Linked DNA regions of Arabidopsis thaliana. The protein of the gene in region 1 interacts with the protein of each later gene in a pairwise test. Each region holds a gene or a part of one and is shown on either strand. Other genes may lie near its edges.

The links. Proteins that work in one complex are often made in the same cells at the same time.
Region 2: the proteins of NATA1 (region 1) and AT2G18090 interact in a two-hybrid assay, tested with the Arabidopsis thaliana proteins (one large-scale study listed by BioGRID).
Region 3: the proteins of NATA1 (region 1) and NAC032 interact in a two-hybrid assay, tested with the Arabidopsis thaliana proteins (one large-scale study listed by BioGRID).

The regions. Positions count from the first base shown.
Region 1 is NC_003071.7:16,294,313-16,300,862, reverse strand, and holds NATA1 (Acyl-CoA N-acyltransferases (NAT) superfamily protein), read right to left. Parts: upstream 2,754-6,550; 5' UTR 2,604-2,753; coding exon 1,917-2,603; 3' UTR 1,658-1,916; downstream 1-1,657. Other genes in the region: AT2G39040 (Peroxidase superfamily protein), read left to right, coding at 41-235, 395-560, 982-1,400; AT2G39020 (Acyl-CoA N-acyltransferases (NAT) superfamily protein), read right to left, coding at 4,761-5,471. UniProt on the Arabidopsis thaliana protein: Acetyltransferase that converts ornithine to N5-acetylornithine, which is likely used in plant defense.
Region 2 is NC_003071.7:7,861,406-7,870,468, reverse strand, and holds AT2G18090 (PHD finger family protein / SWIB complex BAF60b domain-containing protein / GYF domain-containing protein), read right to left. Parts: upstream 6,276-9,063; 5' UTR 5,969-6,275; coding exon 5,679-5,968; intron 5,566-5,678; coding exon 5,486-5,565; intron 5,410-5,485; coding exon 5,222-5,409; intron 5,069-5,221; coding exon 3,152-5,068; 3' UTR 2,649-3,151; downstream 1-2,648. Other genes in the region: AT2G18100 (transmembrane/coiled-coil protein (DUF726)), read right to left, coding at 9-68, 169-304, 406-476, 557-648, 742-839, 955-1,107, 1,219-1,387, 1,570-2,055 and 2 more.
Region 3 is NC_003070.9:29,096,692-29,104,407, forward strand, and holds NAC032 (NAC domain containing protein 32), read left to right. Parts: upstream 1-3,147; 5' UTR 3,148-3,337; coding exon 3,338-3,506; intron 3,507-3,608; coding exon 3,609-3,883; intron 3,884-3,972; coding exon 3,973-4,290; 3' UTR 4,291-5,068; downstream 5,069-7,716. Other genes in the region: PBC2 (20S proteasome beta subunit C2), read left to right, coding at 42-149, 268-357, 677-761, 1,119-1,213, 1,366-1,414; AT1G77460 (CELLULOSE SYNTHASE INTERACTIVE 3), read left to right, coding at 7,687-7,716. UniProt on the Arabidopsis thaliana protein: Transcriptional activator that positively regulates age-dependent senescence, dark-induced leaf senescence and stress-induced senescence.

The sequences.
Region 1 (6,550 bases):
TCTTTCTTATAAAGATAAGTCTGATGTGGATGATTTTTAGGGGTGCGACGCATCGCTGCTTTTAGATTCGGTTGCTGGAAAAGCAGTGTCCGAGAAGGAAGCGAGACCTAATCTCTCGCTTTCCGGGTTTGAAATCATCGATGAGATCAAGTATATTCTCGAAAAACGATGCCCTAACACCGTCTCTTGCGCTGACATTCTCACTTTAGCCGCCCGAGATGCCGTCTCTTATGAAGTAATACATATGAACAAACTCGTCTAAAAAATTTCATGATTAGAAATCAAAAATTTAGTATTTTACTAGTCGCATATGTTAGTTTTAGATGTCTTTCTTATCAAATGAAACCAATAATCAATTCTAACTCCCTGAGTTTCTATGTTTGATGTGTTATAGTTTGAACGGCCGCTATGGAATGTGTTTACCGGACGTGTTGATGGAAGAGTTTCATTGGCAACGGAGGCGGCCAGAGACTTACCATCCGCTGGGGCAAACTTCACCACTCTACAGAAACTCTTTGCCGAGAGCGATTTGGACGTCGTTGACCTCGTCGCTTTATCAGGTTTACCATATTTGATATATCATTTTTTGGTAATCACATTTGCATATACGTTACTGATAAGAAACCAAGTGAATTAAAAGCTAACCAATGAAAATTGGGAACAAATAATAAAACTAAAGAACGCATAAAACTATAAGAAAATCGCGGGAATATCAGACCACGTGCATGTCCATGTTAGGAAGTGTATGGGATGCTACAAATTAATTTCCTCCAATCTTCAAGAAAAAGTATAATATCCGATCGTATATATACCATCAAATATTTGAGGATAATCTTGGAAAAGGCGTTGCACGTGATAATTATTCAAAAGTCAATTAATCTTCTTAGGAATGATACACTAATATTTTCATATAAATCATTCATTTAATCACCTAATTTTTCGATTATATATTAAAAAGAAACGAAATTGTATGAAAAATAGGAGCACACACGATAGGAATAGCACATTGCGGTGTGTTTGGCAGAAGGCTCTTGAACTTCACCGGAAAAGGGGACACAGATCCTTCCCTAAACCCTAGTTACGCCTCCTTCCTCAAATCCGAATGCTCCGACAAATCTTTAAGACTCAACCCTTCCGCAGTGGTCGGAATGGACCCTACTGGTCCTCTCGCCTTTGACAGTGGCTACTTCGTCTCTCTACTCAAGAACAAAGGACTCTTCACCTCCGACGCCGCCTTGTTGACTGATCCCTCCGCCGCTCACATTGCTAGTGTTTTCCAAAACTCCGGCGCTTTTCTTGCTCAGTTTGGTCGGTCCATGATAAAGATGAGTTCCATCAAAGTCCTTACTCTTGGAGATCAAGGTGGTGAGATTCGTAAAAATTGTCGCCTCGTCAACTGATAAATTTTCACTTTTTTTTTTATCTTAATACCGTATAAATTTGATTATCATGTAATCATCATTTGAGATATGTTTTTCTTAATTTTATTACAATACTAAGATTTTAATGATCCATATATATATTTAAGTGGAATTGTATGTTTCCAATTTATCTGTTTAATTACCACTTCTATGTCTTTTTGACAAGGCCCGTACTTTAGCATGTGTAAGTAGAACGCTGTCCGGTTAAAAAAAAAACAGTGCAGTCTCTATATAAATTGAGGTCAATAATTTAAAAATTTTATTTATTCACATTAAATACACCTTGAAAACTTCTTTTAAACATGGCTTATAAATAGTTTGAAGAAATCTCCATTTTATTCAAATCCGAAAACACAGAAGATACTTTTGTAACCATAATCACAAATACATCTTTATCTTAAACTTGAGATGTTTTATTCAACAAATTAAAAACAAGTGAGAAACAAACTTTAAAGGACCGATCGCTCGATGGGTCTCATGCAAATCATCATGCTGCTAGATGTTTAGCTTGTCAATAGCTTGAAGTGCATCGCCAGTGAGCCTACAAAGTCTCCATTCCTTAAAAACCTGCGCACCCATCTGCTCATAGAAGTTGATAGCATTCACATTCCAATCGATCACAATCCACTCCACTCTTCCGACACCCAACTTCACTGCTTGCTTTGCCACAGCGGTCAGTAGCAGTTTTCCGAAGCCTTTTCGTCTGTAAGGTTCTCTCATGAAGATATCCTCGATGTAGAAACCCTGTTTCGCTAGAAAACTTGGGTAGTTCGGGAAGAACAGAACGAATCCAGCCACCACCACGTCGTTGAGCTTATCCGGCAAGAACTTTTCTCTGTCCGGATCCTCGATAGGGAGATCAACCTTATGCGTCTCAAGAAAGGGGGTGAAATCAGGGGACGAAGCGTCATGAGTGGTGGGAAATGGGGAAGGGGAGATTTCCAAGAGGAAGACGGTGACGGCTTGGAACGGACGGGAGTTGAAGAGCGTGGAGGCAAGACCAGACTCGGTGGCGACAAAGAGATGCGTGAGGCGCTCAAAAACCGCCATCTGGTGGATTAGCTTGTGAATGAAAGGGACATCGGTCGGCGTAGCGAGGCGGATCCGGGAAAACATACGGTGGCCGGTCGGTGAAGTCTCTGGCACAGTGTTTGGCTCTGGTGCTGCGGTTGGAGGCGCCATTTTTCTGTTACTTGTTTTTGAAGATAGTGATGTGAAGATTAGGGTTTCGAGAATCCATATATATATACTATAAAAATTTGATGTTACTTGCTTCTAAGGCTGCTATCTATCATGTTTAGGATTAGAAATTATTTTACAAGCCAATCTAACTATGCCACATATGATAAACTAAAACGCTATCTCATCCTTTTTTTGACTTTTAGATCGATCCCTCTTCTTGGAAAATGTCATGTTTTACACGTTAAATTAGGTGATCACTCTCTTCTCCTTTTTGGTTTTTCGTTCAGGTTAAGAAATCAAAGAGACTCCACATTATCTACTTATGTAAGTTTTTGAACATAAAAACAATTATCACCATATCAACTCAACGTATCAGTGTAATGGTTGCGTCCCTCAATTTTCAATCCCTCAATCTCTATTATCTCATTGTATAGGTCACCGATCATCTCTCCCAAAACTTTGCAAACGGTTCTAAGTCTTTTAAACTTCCTTCTTAATAATTTGAACCTCTCATTCTATATTACGTCGTACAAATTCATTAGAGAAGATTAAGGTTTCTAATATGGCATTGAATTTTTTAAACATAATTTGGCTCTTTTGCGATTTGAGACAACGCACGACCATACCACGAAGCAAATACGGTCATCTATACCGTTTACAGTCCAATCTTCGTGAGTGAGTTCGACAATTGGTATTTTTACCAATTTAATTTAGGAAGAAATTGATGAATTTCGATAAATACCATCACCATTTGTTGAAGTCGGTAAAAAGACATATGAAGAAACGTGAAGCACATGTCGTTAAATCATGGAAAAAGACATTTTGGTTCCAAAGAAAAATACAAGAAATGAGTGAAAAATAATGACACTCCCATCGTCGTTTTATCTCATAGAAGAAGCTAGACGCTACACGTACTACTTTGATATTTATTGTCGTTAGCACAAAATAGTTAGCCGACATTGTTTACAGTATTAACAGGTGCGTTCTACATGTAGCTGGCAAGATTTGTTACGTCTCTTAGTCCAAATTTGTCGACAACAAAAATCAAATATGTATCCTGCCATTTCTTTCCAATTTTGGATTCTGTAATCACGACGATAACTTCAATGTTGTTGATAATAAAGGAAAGGAAATAAAACTATCAATTTTTTACTACTTTAATTCTTTAGCTTATGTCTTTTTATAGTTTTAATTGTTAATAAATGAATATGATTTTGAGTGTAAATCCAAATATTTTTCATAATATACTCTTCCAAAGATGAGATTTTTTGTTCAAAATACTTAACGGAATGCATGATATTAGTAGAATGTATCTGTCCAGTTTTATGTCCAGTTTCATGTTTAACAAACAAAAAACTAGTCTCACTCTTTTTTACTTTTGGTTCAGTTTTAAAGTTTTACCGATAAATTGCAAGTGAATTAATCTCAATCAAAGAGATGTTCTTTAAAGCCAGTAGGACAACTAGAGATGTTGAAGTGTTTGTGCATTCTTCTACAAATTTTACAACCCACTTAAGCCCATTTATAAGAGTAGAATCATTTTCGTAAAATGGGGTCTTTTGTTCTCTATGTTAACACAAAAGCGGAATGTTTTGTTGTAGTAATAAAAATAGATGAATTTTTGTTTCATGCTCACGGTTTCTTAATTCTCTATACAACAAGACAGAGAGTCAGAGACTACTAAAACTTAGTTTTTATTGTCTTCTATAGTAACTGAAGCAAGAAGGCTTAACCTATATAGTTTGCAATTAGACTTGTGTGTGCCTCGCAAGCAACTTAACCATTCTACATTTGATCACAATTTCTTCATTTGACCAATTTATCTGTACTCTCCAATTCACTGTCCTCTAGGATCACAAAACCAATTCTTCAAATCCATAACACAGAACAAATACTTTGGTCAAGCAAATATGACGAGGAATCACACAAATACATAACTCTTACTTTAAAAACTCGAAACATTTCATACATTCAACAAAAGGGTTCTTTTTTCTCATTCAGTATCCAACAAGTAAGCATAGAGAATTCATCATCATCATCATCATCAATGCCAACACTTGCATAAAGTAACAACAAGAAGAAGGAAAAAAAACACAAACTTTAAAAGCAAGAGGAAGTGATCTGATTCGATAACTCTCAGCAACACAGCATCAATCTCTAGATGTTGACCTGATCAAAAGCTTCAAGAGCATCACCAGTAAGTCTACAAACTCTCCACTCCTGCAGAATCTGAGCACCCATCTGCTCATAAAACTTGATAGCATTAACATTCCAATCAAGAACAACCCATTCCACTCTTCCATAACCCATCTTCACCGCTTGTTTGGCCACAGCAGTCAACAACATGCTACCAAACCCTTTCCTCCTATAAGGCTCTCTCACAAATATATCCTCAATGTAAAAACCAGGCTTGGACAAAAAGCTAGAGTAATTCGGGAAAAACAGAACAAACCCAGCTACAACGACGTCGTTCAACATATCCGGCGAGAAATTGTAACTCTCCGGATCATCAATCGGGAGATCAAGGTTATGTGTTTTGAAAAACGGTGTGAAATCGGGAGATGGTGATGAAGTGATGGTTGCTGGAAATGGAGAACGAGAGACTTCTAAGAGGAAGACTGTGAATGATTGGAAAGGACGAGAGGTGAAGAGTGTTGAAGCGAGACCTGATTCGGTGGCGGAGAAGAGATGCGTGAGACGTTCGAAGACTGCCATTTGGTGAATTAGTTTGTGGATGAATGGGACATCGGACGGTGTTGCCAGACGGATCCGGGAGAACATTGGGTGGCCGATTGGTGAAATTAGTGGTGCTACCATGTTTGGTTCCGGTGCTGCTGTTGGTGGCGGTGGCGGTGCGGCGGCTGCCATTTTTTTTTGGTACTGTGATTGTGAAAATTAGGGTTTATATTTGGGGGGGGGGGGAGTGATAGTGAGAACGATGGAGAGGTTCTAGAGAAGCTTGGGCGGTGGTTTTTCTTGTGCTATGTGTATTTTTTTTAATTAGGAAAGTAATAAAATAAGTATGGATTTTGAATGAGCCCAGCCCAAAGTTTTTATGGATTTTGTATGAGAGTTACTGAACCCAGCCCAAACCCAGTGTTTTTACTTTTAGTAACCCCCTTACATACGTAACCAAAAGCTAAACCAAGTTATTGTTTTTATGGATTTTTATTGTTTCTTCTTACCACTACAAAAGTCAATACAATATTTAACAAGTTCAATTCATATATAGTAAGTATTAATATAGACAAAATTTCAAAATATAAGTCTAAAAAATTATGTACTTATTCATTTTTAAAGACACATTGTTCAATAAAATAAAATAGGTAGAATAATATATGATACCAATAAACCCACACGATGTGTGTGAGTTGATTTCTAATAATATTCTAATTACCAACTTTATTTTCTCTAAGATATTATTTTGAACCTAAACTACACATGCTCAAAAATATGAGCTAGATCTTGCATATTTGGAAGATCGGCTAAGCTACCACATCTTACAACAATCGCATGATATTAAATGTGAAATAGATTTCTTTTATTGGTTTTATTAACATTTATATATACATTTTTATTGCTAAATATGTCAATTTACTAGTGTAAACAATGTTGCATTTATTGCCGATTATCTACCTATTCTCAAGAATCATGCTAGACTCTACCCTCTCTCTTAGTATCCATACAAGATGTGTCAGACTGATGCTAAATCTGGTAATTCTATGTTTCACACCTGTGGATATTGGTTGGGTTTCTACTTCTGATTGTTGGTGTCATGTTCATTATGCGGTTGAAAAAATATAGAAAATAGAGGAAGGTGCCATATAAGTTGTGAGATGTTAAGATCTCACTAGATGGCAATACCAAAGAAATAGAGGAAAGTAAGAGGAACAAGATAGTAAAGAAATCTGAGGGGAACCAGATAAAAGAGAAAAGTGAGAGGATTT
Region 2 (9,063 bases), 8.4 Mb from region 1:
AATTATACCTATTTCCTTGCAACCCTTTTCGAAGCGCTTCAGCAAGAAGCTTCCCTGCTTTGTCTGACCTGAAATAAGATAATACGAAAATAATAGCACATAAACTTACTTGCAGTACTGGTTTCATCACATTTGGCATTTCAGTTTCATCAAATATTTTCATTTTACCTGTCAATAGCAATACTCCATCTACTATCTATAAAATCAGCAGCTACAAGGATTGTTGCCGGCCAAACCATTGCTGCTAAAAGCGAGTTTAGTACGGTGCGCATTGCACCTTGTCTCATCAACTCCATAGCAACTCCTGCAACAAGTTCATGTCAATGTTACTATCTATTCTTAGAGCAATAGCAAAAAGATAGATTTACATGGTTACACGTATTGGATAAAACTATATATTATTACTTGAAGTAAGCCAATCCTGAATTGCAGTGCTCACTGCAATAATATTCTCGGATTCCCATTGCACCGTGTACCTAAGAAGGTATTATAGCAAACATATGGATTTTATGATATAGTCACAAAAAATATACACAAGAACAATTCATTTTAATACCTTTCTAGGTTGCTAGTTAACCCTTCCCAGGGTTTTACAAAGTCTTCTTCCTTTAAAACAAAGCCAGCAACTAAGATCTCCACCGCTAATCGCTATTACACCAACAAGAAAAATAAAGAAAGAACAAAGAGATCAATGCAGAGCAAAGAGATTTCAACATGAAACAGCAGGAATTTAAAACTAACTCCTTGATTATGATTTTCTCCAATAGCTTTGAATTCAAACTCTTCAATGTCACCAGTTCTCCTAGCCATCTTCGTCCCAGTGAGCCCAGCTCCAGCAGCTATTCATGAACACATGTAGAAACAAAACAGAAGACTAAGAACTATACAATTATCATCACTTTGATTCATTTTATTTCTTAAAGGAATCTAAAACTGATTCTACTTTTTATTTACCTCCAAAAGATGCTGCAACAGCAACAGAACCAGCAACAGTTCCGGCAGCCTCAGCAGCTGCAGCAAACCCACTGGCTCCAATTACCGGAACTATTGTGCCTAGAGTTGGAGCCAATGCACCGAACCCTGCAGCTATTGCTGGAGCAGCCAATCCTGTTTCACATAATATGTAATCAAAACAGATTAAGAATTAGCATTTTCCAAACACATACTCTTAATTTTCTAAACGTTGGAAGAGATATTAACAGTTAGAAGACATCATACCACCAGTGATGGCCATCAATGTACCCCCTGTTAAAGCAGCCGCTCCAACTATGCCTCCACGTTTCCACTTAGCCCATTCACTATTTGGTGACAAAGACTCTTCTTCCTTATTTCCACTTGACTTTTGCAATGCCATGGCAGAGCATGCAGACATTGTCTCAACTGCTTCCTAGAAAATACAGAAATTGATTCTCAGGTCAATCCAAATGCACAAAACAGAGAATCCTAAATATCCCAATGTCATCAGATCCTAAATCCTCAACAAGATAGCTAACATGTAACTATAGGGTTGCTATGCTATGTGGTAGCATAAAATTTACAAAATAATTTGAATGAATGAAGCAAACAGACCATTTTAATCCACTGAAAGTCAAACCAAGTAGCAAGTAACCGCAGAGCAACATGGTGACGCGCATCATAGCCTTTCCTACGCCGTGTACATATCTCATTCTCCTCATGTTTATCTGCCAAGCAAGCAGATAGTAGCTCGTAAAGAACATTTATCTTTCTCTCATGGCTAAGCAATGCTACTTCCCCAACAGGTTTCTCATGTTCAACAATCCCAAGATTGTGGCCTCCATCTCTAATTTCACCCTCCCCGTGGCTCTCCGTTTCCTTAACCTCAGCACCAGACTGTGCCTCGGGAACAGAATACTTGTCGCGGCATTCGTTTTCGAATTCCACATGTTTCTCCATCTTAGATTCCACAGATAGAGAGCTGCTTCGAATGTTTTGATCCATAGCATCAGCAGCTTTAGCTAAGGCGGTCTCTTTCTCCACCATTTCACTAGAATCATCATCATCATCACTCACATCCTCTGAGAGTAACTTGATAAACTACAATAAACCAAAAGTAACATCCAATAAAGAAGAGCTCCTCAACATTCACAACGAAATTTCAAAATACGGAGAGAAATTAATCATACCGCACCGATGTGATCCTTAGCCTGAGTAGAAGCAGCTATCTCTTCAAGGCCATGCCAAGCTGATGAATCAATCTGAAGACATCTGAAAGCAAATTACAGAGACAGCTCAAAATGTATACATTACACACACAGAGACGCATATGAACATGACTATTCCAGATGATTTCAAGATCACCTGAGAACAGGACGGAGGAGGCCGGAAACTTCGTGGACCCAGAGATCCGCCTCATCGGAGATAGGATCACTGTCGCTGCTGATTGGCTCTCCGGTACTTCCGGTGGCCGGGATTCCCAATGGCTTTGACTGGCTGATCTGCGCTTGGTTAAGCGCGATTGCAAACAAAGCGCTTGCCGCGTATCTCTGCGACGGCGTCAAATTTGACGTAGCTTCCACCATCAACTCAGATCAACAAAAACGAAATCGAAGAAACAACAAAAAGTTTCCAAATCCAGAAACGATCAATAGAGTTCGTCTCATTTTCCAAAAACAAGTAGAATAAACTGGAGCCTACACTTGTCATGATATAAATAGATTTGAAACATTCAAAACAAAAAGAATGAAACGTTACACTATCATTATCATATATATAGAATAATAAGATGATATGATCCCTACAAATGTTTTGATTACATCCATGGACAACAATTTCTTCCCATTTTTATACTTGTTCCTAAGTACAAACAATGTAAAAAAAAAAGATACAGAAGTTGGGTATGTCTGTGCAAATCTTAACACAGGACAACGTTACAAAACCTAAATACTGAAGAAAACAATGGGTGCAGTCAAAAATACCGCGAAGAAACATCTTCTACATATGCACCACTCGTTTTTTTTCATTTTTGCTGATGATTCTGCCATTTATTTATGTTCTGTAATAATCCTGCAAAAAAAAAGAGAAGAAAGAGGGCATAGTCCACCATCGATCAGACGAATCTAGGACATTGGATGATCTATGGTAACCTGTGCCCCAGGTTATGATTTCTCTCTATGTGAACCCGAGCCCACGACTAAAAATGCACGGTGCTGTTAGATCGTGAATGCATTTGAAGATCGTTTGTGGAGCTCATGGAGTCACCTTTGCTTACATCTAGTGCTGGGCTATGTCCTTCTGCGGGACTGAAGCTATCGTTTATTGAGTGCCGGATTAATAATTCTTCAGGACCACGGAATGTCGAAGTTGGAGAAGGAAGACGTTTTTGGGACTCCATGGCTTCCACTTCTGCCAAAAGATCTGAGACTGATTCGTCGCATTCGTCAGGTCCAGCCACAATGGGTTGCCAATCAGTGGTAGTAGATGCAAAGTTGAATTTGAAAGTTGGACTAAAGAGATCTAAAAAGTCTATTTCTTGATTGTCTGGGAAAGACGTCAAACCCGAGTTCGAATCCCACACATTTGAAGCACTGCTTGGAGTTGCAGCATTCCAGTTCTGTCCACATGACTGGACTGTAGCCGTGACTTGTTTCTCAGCTGAGCCGCTAAGACTACCGTTTTGATTGCAAGCAGTCGTTGCTGCACTGTTTCCATCTGTCTGACCAGCACTCCATCTTTCATGTGGTGGCAGAGAGCAGTTTGAGTTTCTAGGTAATGTAGCCAGCGAGAGTGAACAGCTTATTGGGCTTTGTACAAGCAAAGAACTTTCAACTTTTCTTTTGTCCCAGAGAGAGATAAAACCCACAGTATCCCTTTCATTAGAAAGAGAAAAATCCAATGGCACGGCGTGGCTACAATTGTTTCCGCTTTTGTTACTCACATCCGAGCTCCTTGTGATGACACTGTTACTGCTAGAAATAACACTCTGGTCAGTGCACACTGAGTTGGGGCTGAAGTCAAGTATTCTACTCTCTATTTTAGGAACAGCCACAGACCTGTTTTGATCGTTAGCTATAGTAGCTGTCACTTCCTGCTTGGGGATAGAATGATTCTGTAATAACCCTGTTTTATGGAACTGCCCATTTAATGCGTCAGTCAAAAGTATGGAGCTGTGTTGCTGTTCACCCAACCTCCATATTCTCAGCTCTGGTGGGAAATGCCCGCTTGAATTCCATTGTCGCAGGTTATATAACGAAAATGGTCCATGAATCTTCCCATCTGGATCTCCATATAACCATACCATATTTGTATCCAAACCATCAATTGGCTTATTGGACAGAGTGGCACTTGTGTCAGGTTTTACAACTGCATGGTTTCTGCTATCAGAACTGGAAGGTCTAACTTGAATACTGTGCCCGTTCAATTGCTGTGATTCCCCTTCTTGATGCTGTTCAGATGTATTTAACCTATCACAGCTTCTGCCCGCATTAACCTGGTAAGACATAGTTTCAGTGACTCCTCCGGCTGAATTATCTGTGACTGGAGACCTAACTTGATCGATGAAGTGAGAATCAAGAAGCTTTAACATTTCCAAGTTGTCCACTCGCTCCTTTCCAAACAATCTCATAAGCTTGGAGTCACACATTATTTCAGAATTCTGAGGAGAGTTTTGTAGATTATTCCGTCTCACATACTCTAGCACGAGAGTTTGGACATCATACTTTGATAAGACAGAAATATCACCGTTTTTCATATACCCCACAAAGTCCAAAAGCTCATTGGTTGCCCAAGTAGCAGCACTAGTCAATTGTGGAAGTCTGTCACCCAAAGAACAGTTTGAATCCAAAGAAGGACCCAAATTACTCACAGAAACAGCATCCATTTTCCTTACTTTAGCACGACGTATTTTCATAACCCCAGGAGAATTTCCATCATCCTTTTCATGAACCCGACTAGTAGTTCTTCGCTTAGCGGCAGTAGAAGAAGAAGATTTCCATGGATTTTTTGCTTTGGTAAGATCATCTAACGATAAACCTAGCTTTTCTTTAAGAGAAACCCAGTAAATCTTAAAAAGATACTCCCAGCTGCCTTGATCATCAAAATCAACCTGAACCTAGAAAATGTACATGTAATACATTTAGCTAGAAGAAAGAATCCACATTAAAAAAACAAAGCGACATTACAAGAACAGACCTCAAGTTCCACAAATAACCTTGTAGTACTGCGAGTAAGAGAAAGTAACAAAATGTAGACAGGATTCTCATACCTTTTCTTTGTTAGCTTCAGCTGCATTCTCAATAAGCATTATAGTCTTCATACAAATTCCACAGAATCCTTTGTTCTCCCTTACAACTACATACTCTGAGCTTCTAACACACCTCTTACAAACTGAATACGGACAAGTATAACACATGTAGAACGAATCCTTTTGACAAGTAGTACATATGTGCCAACCTGAAACCAAAAAACCATCCTCATCACTATGAACCATCTCAAAGAAGAGAAAACAGATAAAAATTGAACAACTTACCACAATTCCATTTAGATCTCGATCTGAAGAATGCTTCAGTACGCTTAACACAAGCTGGGTGATAAGCCTTTGGACATCCCCTGACAAATTAAGAAAGAATCATCATCAGTCACAAGTAAAAGTTTCTATTTTTACAAGTAGGAATGTAATGGAGCTGGGAGAGTAACTTGTCTAAGCTCAAAACTTCACTAACCTACGATCGCAGAGAACAAGACTACCACCATCGAAGCAAACAAAGCAAACATCTTCATCTTCTCTTCTCTTCCTCGAAATCGGAGGCGAAGAAGCTTTAGCTAAAATTCTCGGCGGACGACCACGTCTACCTCTCTTCTTCAAAGAATCGGAATCTTCTTCGTCTAACTTCACATCCGAATCTAACGGAACACCACCACCATCGAAGAATCCCGGAGGAGAAGAAGAAGAATCATCTAATTTAACATCGGAAACACAATGATCGACTCTCATAAGATCGATTTCCGGCATCGATTCGTTGTTGGCTCCTCGTGAAGCCAAAGAACACTTTTTTTTTGCTTCTCAGCTCAACAAAAAGACAAGAACGAGGAAGCGGAAGATCTGAGGTTTTAAAAAAAGAAGGGAAGGTGAAGCAATCGTGGAAACCCTAACCCTAGGGTTTGGAGGAGAATTGGGAATTGGAGAAGGGAGGGAGGAGGAGGTGGAGGAGATGGTGGCGTGTAAGGAGAGAAGACACAGTGGGCACATGGAAAATGGACTTACTCGTTACTCGCCAAAAGCAAGAGAGAGAGAGATGTGACAAGGCAGTGTTTGGTTGTCTGTCTCCTTTTTTTGACTTTCTAGAGAGAGAAAGAAACAACACGCTTTTTTTTTGTTGTCTAAACGCCGCGCATATGGCTGGTTCCACGTGGGCAAAGTTGAGGCTGGTGGGAGCCACTCGCGTCTTTTCCCATAAAATAAACTATTATTATTTTTAATTTTTATTATTTTTTTAACAGAGAATCTTGTTACCACTAAAAATATATATAGGTGACTAAGCTACAAGATGCAAAAAAATCACGAGGCATTAGAAAAAATTGATCTCTGAGTTAGAGGAGTATTTTCAAATTTATATTTTAAGTAATTTAAGATTCATAATGATTTATTAATTTTTAATATGATTTTAGGTAAATTTAGAGAAATTTATGATTTGTTGTAGTCTGGTTCCCCAAATTCTACATAAAAGAATTACATTTGTGTTTTTTAATTTTATCTAAAATTTTTTTCTAAAATTCTATAAGAAATTATTCAATTATATATTTTATAAAAAAAAACTTCAATTTTTCAAATATCTTAATCCTGTCTTTCTACATTGTCGTAAAAATTAGATAAACTATGGTTAAAATTAAAACACAAAATTTTACAAAATCTCTCATAATCAACTTCGACATCATACAAACATCAGAGAATTTCGCTATAATAAATTAGAATTCGTCAATTTAGGTTTTTTACTTTGACAATTTTAGAGTTTAGGTTTGATGATTTATAATTTTATTGAAGAACATCATGTTATTTTTGTTTACAATTTGTGTTGTATAAGTTTATATATCTTTTTCAATATAAATATAGTTTGTCCAATTTCATGATAATTTTTAAAAAGGGAAATTTGTATTAACATATTTGAAATTGAGGAATTTTTTCACTATACACCCTTAAAAACTAATGATATGAATATTTTCAATAATAGTGGAATTAAAATTATTATTCAAATTATTAGTTCAATAATATTTGATTTTAGAAGATTCTTAAAATATAATTGATTGACATAAAAATTTGTTATCGTAATATATATTATTTTAAATATTATTATTTTTGTATATTTATAAAAAAATTCCACAGCTCGAATTAAACTCTTAACCCCACCATTTGTTTATTTTTATTTGCGTCGATTTAGTGGGGGAGGCTTCGTGTCTTAGTCTAACACGGACTGTTATATTAATGTAATTTATTAGATATTATTTTTTGTTAAATAATAAAGTGGACCAAAGCGAAAATGAAATTGAACTACTTTTTTTTTTTCTTATGTGCAAGATGTCGTGGTCGTAGTTTCTTGCTTTGGTCTTCTACTCGCTACCTAACCATATATCTTATCTTTAATTCTCATTTCGAGATCTTCTTTCTCTTAAAAGAAAAAAAAAATCAGCTATTAATTAGTTGACAAACTTTTATATAAAATAAACGAAGTGGACATAACGATTCAAGACTCAATACTTTATTAAAGTTGCAATGATTTCTAGCAGGATAATGTTTTATAACTAAGATTAACTGATTTTTTAGAGTTTTGTTTCATTTTTTTTTTTATAACAATAATCTTTTCCAATAGTACAAAACGACACTTGCAAAACATGAGTGTTAAAGAAACACTATGAAGTGATAGAAGATAGACCTAATAATATTAATGCGTTCTGGTCTCTAGTCTCTAGTAAGCTTTTATAGGACAAATCCATGGTAAAAGGTCAAGATTTATACGTACAACCGACTAATCTTATAGTTGATATGTCGATCGACGACGAAAAAAGATGAACATGTCACGTTTAAATATTATATGTAGTGAGCTGAAATCAAATTATAGTACATAAAACAATGAAAAATCGATTGGTATATAATATATAATTCGTGATCACATACAAACATATTATCAAACTGAAGTAATCCATTGATCATAGGTCGATGTGACATGAGCTATCTCACTAGATTGTCATTGTTAAACGTATTTATCAATATACAATATATAGGATCACACATGCAGTTTTACGTGAACAAAACAGCTTTGACTTCGAATGATAGAGATCAGAGGATTTTATCAAAATAAAATATTTAACAAAACAATACCGGCAATTTTTAATTTTAACTAATGGAACTAGTTTAATAAAACCAGGTGATATTTTGTTACAAATTAAAACCCAGAAAACAAATTTAATTTCCTTGTGAATTTGTTCAAGAAATTCAGGTGGTTTTTTTTGGGTGAAAACAAATGGTAAAATTAACATTAAAGCTCCAGTACGAAATACGAAAAATTTATTTACCTCTATTTGTTTTGGTTTGGGAGTAAAATGAATATGAAACTTAGCCTTTCGTTTTGGTTGCAACCGATGATAATCAAGATGAAAAATATGTTTTTTGAAAGAGGAAAGATGAATAATATTCATAATAATATTAAGCTAAGCCTTTTAGCTAGAATGAGAAACTTAATTTTATTAGTTTATAAAGAAAATTATATTTTTAGTTTTTTTTTATCAAACTGATAATTTTTATTAAAATTAAATCTCAAACTCAGTAAAAAAAGAAGAAATACAACCCAAATAAAAGAGAAATACAGTATAACCTCTATAAATTAATATTCGATAAATTAATAACTTCTATAAATTAATAAATTTTTCTGGTTCCGAGTTGGGACTAGTGTAAAAATTGATACAAATCGATAAATTAATAAGATAATAAAATTTTTGAAAATTCTATGTAAATATATGGTCCCATCAATATTTTAAATTAATAACTGTATAAATTTATGAATATATATATTTATATTTATGAATATATATTATGTAAAGCTTAGTAAAATATGA
Region 3 (7,716 bases), on another chromosome or scaffold:
TTAGGGCTCCGTTTTTTTTTGTTTTGTCTTTGGTACTGAAGGTACCAGCGACTCGTATTTCGTCATAAGTTATATCAGCTTAGGGAAGAAAGAGACATGAAGCCTGAAACTTTCGCTAGTCTTGTATCGGCTATTCTTTATGAGAAAAGGTTGGTGAAATGTCTTCTTCTCTCAATTTGTTATTAGTTTCTAGTTTCCTCTTAACAATCTGATTTCTTATGATTAATGTGGCATTGCCACTACTAAGTACCAAATTCTTTATTTCAGATTTGGCCCATTCTTGTGCCAACCTGTGATTGCTGGATTGGGAGATGATAACAAACCCTTCATTTGCACTATGGATTCTATTGGAGCCAAGTATGCTCGCTTTCTTCATTACTTAAGACGTTATATCTCATTTTTCGTCTGTAATGCCATTTAATTTACTTAGTCAGTGACTGTAATCGTGAAACTTGCTAGGTCAGCTAGAAAATGATCGTGGATTGATATTTTGGTTTTAGTTGGAATCTAATTTTGGTCTTTTGTCATCCAATGCAGTGTATGCATGTCATATGAGTGAACTTATTTTACATGTGTTGAGCTGATTTAAATATGATTCTTAATATAGTTGAGATTTTACCGAACATGATAGTTGCAATGGTGAGCATGCCTTGACGCTTGTTCTCTCTAAATGCAGGGAGTTAGCTAAAGATTTTGTTGTCTCGGGAACTGCTTCAGAATCTCTATATGGTGCCTGTGAAGCCATGTTCAAACCAGATATGGTATGTGCCTTCTGAAAACTTGTTTTTGTACCGATTCACTGGATACTCAAATGTGTGTTTATCACCTGAAAATTTGGTAGGATCATTCATATGTAAGTATTCTATTGTAGAATCTTGATCTGGTAGGAATATTTGTGTGCATAGTGCTGGTGATATATGACGTAACTCCAATAATTTTCTCTGTATATTTTAATTTGGCTTAGGATTAAGATGTTTCAATATTGCGATTACTTCCCTGCCATAGTACTGCTTCGATAAAGTTTGAATTTCAAGGTCATCATTCTAAGAAGTGCATTGTAAACAGACTCGTGATGAAATGAAAAGCATATAACTAGACTTAACAAATTTGAGTTTCAGGAAGCTGAGGAACTATTCGAGACAATTTCACAAGCACTTCTCTCTTCAGTTGACCGCGATTGTCTTAGTGGGTGGGGAGGACATGTCTACGTTGTGTAAGTTTTGTTCTCCTCATCTTCTTCTTCTTCTTCTTCTTCTTTTTTTCTGTCACATCTGGCTTCTTACAGAATATACCTCATGTGCACTTATCTTCTAAGGATATGTATTATATAAGATAGTAACATTCTTTCATGGTCATGTTGTCCAGAACACCAAAGGAGGTGAAGGAGAGAATCCTGAAGGGAAGGATGGATTGATCTGATATCACATATCTGCTTTTGTCCAAGTTCGGTATACTCCTTAACCCGGTTATGTAGAAGCTCTCGTCCCATAGTAACTATGTTCCTTCTCTGAAACTGGATATTGTGGTTCGTTCTCTCGGATGTTTTATTTGCTATTGATAGAGTTCAATGAAAATGAAGAAATAGCAGTTGTTATCTTGTTCCAGTACTCGATCATTCTATGTACCTTGTTGTTTCTGTTTTAATTTCGTACCAAGTGTTCCAGATTTCTGGTTTGTCGCAGTCTTTAGTTTTCAAGGTTGGTACTGATCAGTGACACGTTTTGTTGTTTGTCTTCTTAGTGTTCATGTTCGATTCACTATGGGTGACTTTAGAAAGACGTTAACATGTCAACGAAATATTTTGGTCAACTATCAATAAACATGGTTTGGCTAACGAAATCATACAATAACTATGAAATCAATGTAATTTGGAAGGTGATCACTAGTAACTGCAAATAGAAACGAATCAAACTATTATGATGATGATCCTGATGCTGCCATCTGACATTGTGAATGATTTTGCATGTCCTGTTCTGTTTGTGGCGTTAGATCGAGCCAGAGAGGCAAAATCCATACGCATAAGCGTTTTGATGATTTCATATAAAACGTGGCATGTGCAATAGATGTGGTCGTTACACGAATATAAACCCAATCCTGCCGACCTAACTAATCTCGGTGGGTATTCATATACTACCTGTGTGGGCAAAGCATATAAAGGTTCTACTTGGGCAATCATTATCGATGCTCGTAAATTCATGCGTCTAATCATTTTGATTATGAACCATCCACATCATGTCACGTGTCTAAACTCTTCGGTCACTTTTGAGCTTTTTATCAAATTCAACCCGCCACAATAAAAAGCGGCAGAACTAACATTCCGGCTCCACGTGGCATAGATCGAAGCGTTTATCTATTAGGTGGCACAGGCGGCTCGAGATGACGTTCTTGTGGACTCCATTAGAGAAAATGACAGAATTAAGTGGGCATTAGCATAAGTTGATAACTATGAGGTGCTTTTTAAAAAGAAAACTAACAGCTGCGATTCTGTTTTTTTTTGCCGTTAGTGTACGCTAAATCATAGACCTCTTCGTGGTTATAAAGAAAGAAACTTAATTTGTCTCGAATTTGAGTTTGGATGCGACGTTTTACGTACTAGTTTTATAAAAGTAAATGTTATAGACCTTGAATTTCAAAGTGGAATGTATTTTACACACACAATTGATACACCAACAATTGTGGAAGCAAGGATATAGAGTATCGATCTTTAATGGAGAAGAATATATCCTTAAAGTAATCATTACTTTTTAATTACGGCGGAAAGAGAATAGTTAAATTTACGGCGAAAAGAATGTTCATTAATCAATTGATGACGTTCGTTTATAATTTCAAATAAGATCGAAAATAACAGGTGAACAAAGAAAAAATAGACATTAAAAATAGTAAGATCGAAAATACAACCCTTAAAAATCTCACGAAATCAATGAGAGAAACAATTTTGAGATACGGTCAACGTTTGGTCTCCTTTAGGAAAGTACACGCATAAGATCGAACGTGTCGATTCTTATTGCTCGTTCCCAAAATCGACATGCTCTCGGACCGCTACATTCCAAATAGTCTGACGTAAGCAATGACAAAACTCACCTACATTACAGTCTGCCACGTGTCCCTCTCCATCTACTTCAAATGAATCCTCCACTATACAGATTTAACCATTTTTCTATTTTTGTTTGAGATTCCTTTCCACCAACACAAAGCCCCTGTCTATCCGCCATGTGTCCACGACCTTTCTTATATATATAGTCATCTTTCTTCTTTGCTCGAGAGAAGTTTCAACTTTCAAACATATCTTTACAGTTCTTTCTTGCTAAACAACAATAAAGGGGAAAATAGGTTAATTATGATGAAATCTGGGGCTGATTTGCAATTTCCACCAGGATTTAGATTTCATCCTACGGATGAGGAGCTAGTCCTCATGTATCTCTGTCGTAAATGCGCGTCGCAGCCGATCCCTGCTCCGATTATCACCGAACTCGATTTGTACCGATATGATCCTTGGGACCTTCCCGGTACGTTTCTTTCTTTTCCCCTTTAAATCACACTATACACTAACAGTAACAGGATTCTATAAAATCGGTCTAAGAATTAATAAACCGGTTTACAATTTACAGACATGGCTTTGTACGGTGAAAAGGAGTGGTATTTTTTCTCACCAAGAGATCGAAAGTATCCAAACGGTTCAAGACCCAACCGTGCAGCTGGTACTGGATATTGGAAAGCTACCGGAGCTGATAAACCAATAGGTCGTCCTAAACCGGTTGGTATTAAGAAGGCTCTAGTGTTTTACTCGGGAAAACCTCCAAATGGAGAGAAAACCAATTGGATTATGCACGAATACCGGCTCGCTGACGTTGACCGGTCGGTTCGTAAGAAAAACAGTCTAAGAGTGAGTGAATTTATCAGTTCAAACCGAACTTTGAATATGATTTTGAATCGGTTTAGTTAACCGGACGTGTTTTTGATATTCTTGAACAGTTGGACGATTGGGTATTGTGTCGTATATATAACAAGAAAGGTGTCATCGAGAAGCGACGAAGCGATATCGAGGACGGGTTAAAGCCTGTGACTGACACGTGTCCACCGGAATCTGTGGCGAGATTGATCTCCGGCTCGGAGCAAGCGGTGTCACCGGAATTCACGTGTAGCAACGGTCGGTTGAGTAATGCCCTTGATTTTCCGTTTAATTACGTAGATGCCATCGCCGATAACGAGATTGTGTCACGGCTATTGGGCGGGAATCAGATGTGGTCGACGACGCTTGATCCACTTGTGGTTAGGCAGGGAACTTTCTGAGTTGTCACGTGCGATTAGAGTTAGTGGAAAGTGGAAACTATCACTGTCTGTTTTCGCACGTGTCGGGTAGCCGTCTTGAAACCCGCTAGCTGATCCAGAAGTGACCTCATTGGGCTTTTCAACAACAATTGGGCCTTAGCCTTTCTTCTCCCTTAGTAAGACAAGCTACTGTATTGTGTTGTTATTTTCAGGAAGCAATATAAATTCATTTTAATCACTTATATATTCTTTACATTTTTTTTTCACTCAAAACTACAATCTAGCTTCTTCTTTTTTTTTTTTTTTTTTTGTTATGGTTGTACTACAATCTAGCTTTGTTATATATATATATAAGTTAAAAATAGTAACTAAATTACAAACTAAAATAAAATAAAGAAATTGGAAGATATCACTAGTGTTTGGGGTATTAGGGAGGGAGGGGAGCTCGAGATCCGATTTTACTGACTGCATGGTATCGAAAAAGTGTCGGTAATGGTAGGGTCTGACAGATAACAGTCTTATCGTTGCAACTTGCATTCAAACAAATCTCATTGTTCGCTTTAATTTCTAATTAATTTGTTTTTGTCTTTTGTATATTTATTTGATTTTGACACGAGTTTGTCTTTCCTAATAAGACCGAGGCATGATTAGTTTAACCGGTTTGAATTGTTTAGGTTAAATCGGAGTCCAAGTCAAATACATCGCTATCTAACGAAAACGACGACTGAAATTTCGTAAAGTTCCTTACTATAAAACTGATCTAACTATCTTCTACAAGAACAATATAATAAATTTGATGCATTATGAATTCACAAGTTTTAAATCTTTATGATTTTGTAGCTCATGAAATTGAATGATGTTTCTTTTATTATCACATGTCATTAAATAAAAATAGTTATGAGTAGATGACATAAATACTATTTCAAATAAATTTATCCTCCATCTAATTGTTATGAGATGATTATTTCCTATAACATGGTATCTACTATATGGCCGTCTAAATTAAGTATCAACGTTTAAACTGCGCAATGCTCAAGTTTTCATAAGATGTGATTTGTTAGAGGTTAATTAAGAAACTTGCGAGTGTATATGTGGTCTCTAATCTATATTTTAATCTATAAAAAGGGAAGTGAAAATCAAGATTAAAAGCTTGGATGTCATAGTATAAAAGAATAGTAAAGTAAGGGGACCAGACATATTTGTTGCGAACTGGAAAAAAATGAAGACAGTCAATCTCACTGGGGAAGTGTGGGGTTTGAAGTCCATGTTAGGTCTGTTTGTTGTTGCTCTTACAACCTTCACTTTCAATTTACAACCAAATCTTCTTTACACTTTATACTAATTTATTATTCATGTTTCCAATAGCATTAAAACAGTTTTAAAATCTATCCAACTCTTTTTTTCCCCTACTAAATCAGGAAATTCAAATCATATGGACAATATACTCCATCAAACAGTGTAAATCTGTTATCCACAATGCATAATGTTGTGTTTAATTAACTCGCATTCGTCACAACCAAATTAGTGATTTCTCTCTAATTAACCAATGTATGTAGATGTGAATAATACTTATGTAATAGTCCAGTTTTCAACAAACATATCATAGTTTAACGAAATTGGACAGATTCGAGATCACAACTCGGTTAAGATAAAACTGTGAATAGAATATTTTTCTGCCTAGGTTATAACTTAAAACTATAATATTTTTGGGAGCATGTATTATGTGACTTGTGCGAGAATTCTGTGTATATATGGTTGACAAGATGGATGCTATTTTTGTAAATAGCTAGATGGCTACATACATATTCACTCATGTTTTATAACGTAGAGAATAATTAGTCCACCGCTCTATGCCCCATTTGGAATAAGGTTAATTGTTACAACATATATTTTGGTTAAATGGTTCCGAGTTAATAGACCAAATCATATAGTAGTAGTTTGGAAACAAGACATGGTCAAAACGCAAGATAATACATAGACACATAATTTCAGTTTAAAAGTTCTTAAAACTTTAAAGAACAAAACTTAGATGTAGTTTTAAATGTTAATTTACCTGGTTTTGGCATAACACAACCTAGGAGTTAGGAATGTTCCAACTTCCAATACTTTTACATTTATCAAAACATGCGTTAAATAGAGGGAAAAAATGAATCTTGAGGAACGTTTTATTTCTTCCTAATTTGTTGGCTAAAAAATGAATAAGATAAGCTCAACCAAATGGAGACCCAAACAAAGTTGACATTGAAAAAGTCTAAAATTTCAATGTTTATAAAATCTAACAATAATCCTATTCTTTAGATTGGACAACTTTATGCTAAGATAAGAGTAATTCAGAATTCTAACTAAATCACACTCACTCCATTATTATGGCCGCCGTGGAAAATTCAACAACCAAATCTTCAATCATATAAATACTTTTTCAACTGACTTAAAAGTAAAAAAAAAAAAAATCAAATGTGGAGAAATAATAAATCGATATTAGGACACTCAAATGTACTAGTTAACAAGCTTATGATGACAGAAAATTGGATAATTATGGGAAAATAAGATTGGATGATTAAGGGCTGGGAAAAACAAATTGATGATTAAGGAAAGTAAAAAAGTAAAAAAAAAACGAACGAAAACTGAAAAAAAGTAAAAAAAGGGACTGATCTCTTCTCTTTCTCTCGTACGTTCTTCTTCCTCATTCGAGAGAGTTAATTTCACCATTTCTGATTTCGACAACGACAAACGAGCAAAAGGTGATTTTCCTGTGAGCTTCCTCTTCTTTTAAAATCGCAATGCTCCTACTATTTCTATACTATTATTGTTGTTCTCCAATTGATCCAACGAAACTACGAAATCCATTCTTTGTTTTATTTTTTTAGCCCTAGGATTCTGTGATCCAATCTCTGTTTTCTTCTTCGCTGATTCTGGAAGGTTCTTTTGCTTCTTTGAATTTCTAGAAGCGGAACTTTGAAGGTTAAGTGTTACTTTGACCGGACAGATGGATTCTGACTCGGAACTTTATATCCCGGCGCCGTTTGGAGATTTTACGGTGATGCGGATTTTGAGTTAGAAGCGACGCGGAGAGATTTCATAGGTTTCTTCTGCACCACATTCCACGAGGTGTGTAATTTTCTTCTTTATTTTAAATCTGTTGGGTTTTTGAATTCTAACATTGCAATGTTGATTTAATTTACCGTTGTAATTTGAGTATGAAGAAATTCGACATAGTTGTGGTAAGAAAGAATTGAATTTAAAAGATGAAATCTTTGAGTTTTTATAACAAAAAACTGTGAGGTTTCTTTTTTTTTTGGCCATTCAGAGTAGTAGTTTCACTTCGTCCAGTGTAAGTGCAAAGATAGTTTGAATGTTTGGTAAGTTTGAATATTGGTTTCTTCTATTCTAGGAAACCAGAGGCTGAAGCTAAAAGCGATGTTGAAGGCCTTTCTTCCTGGAACGCAG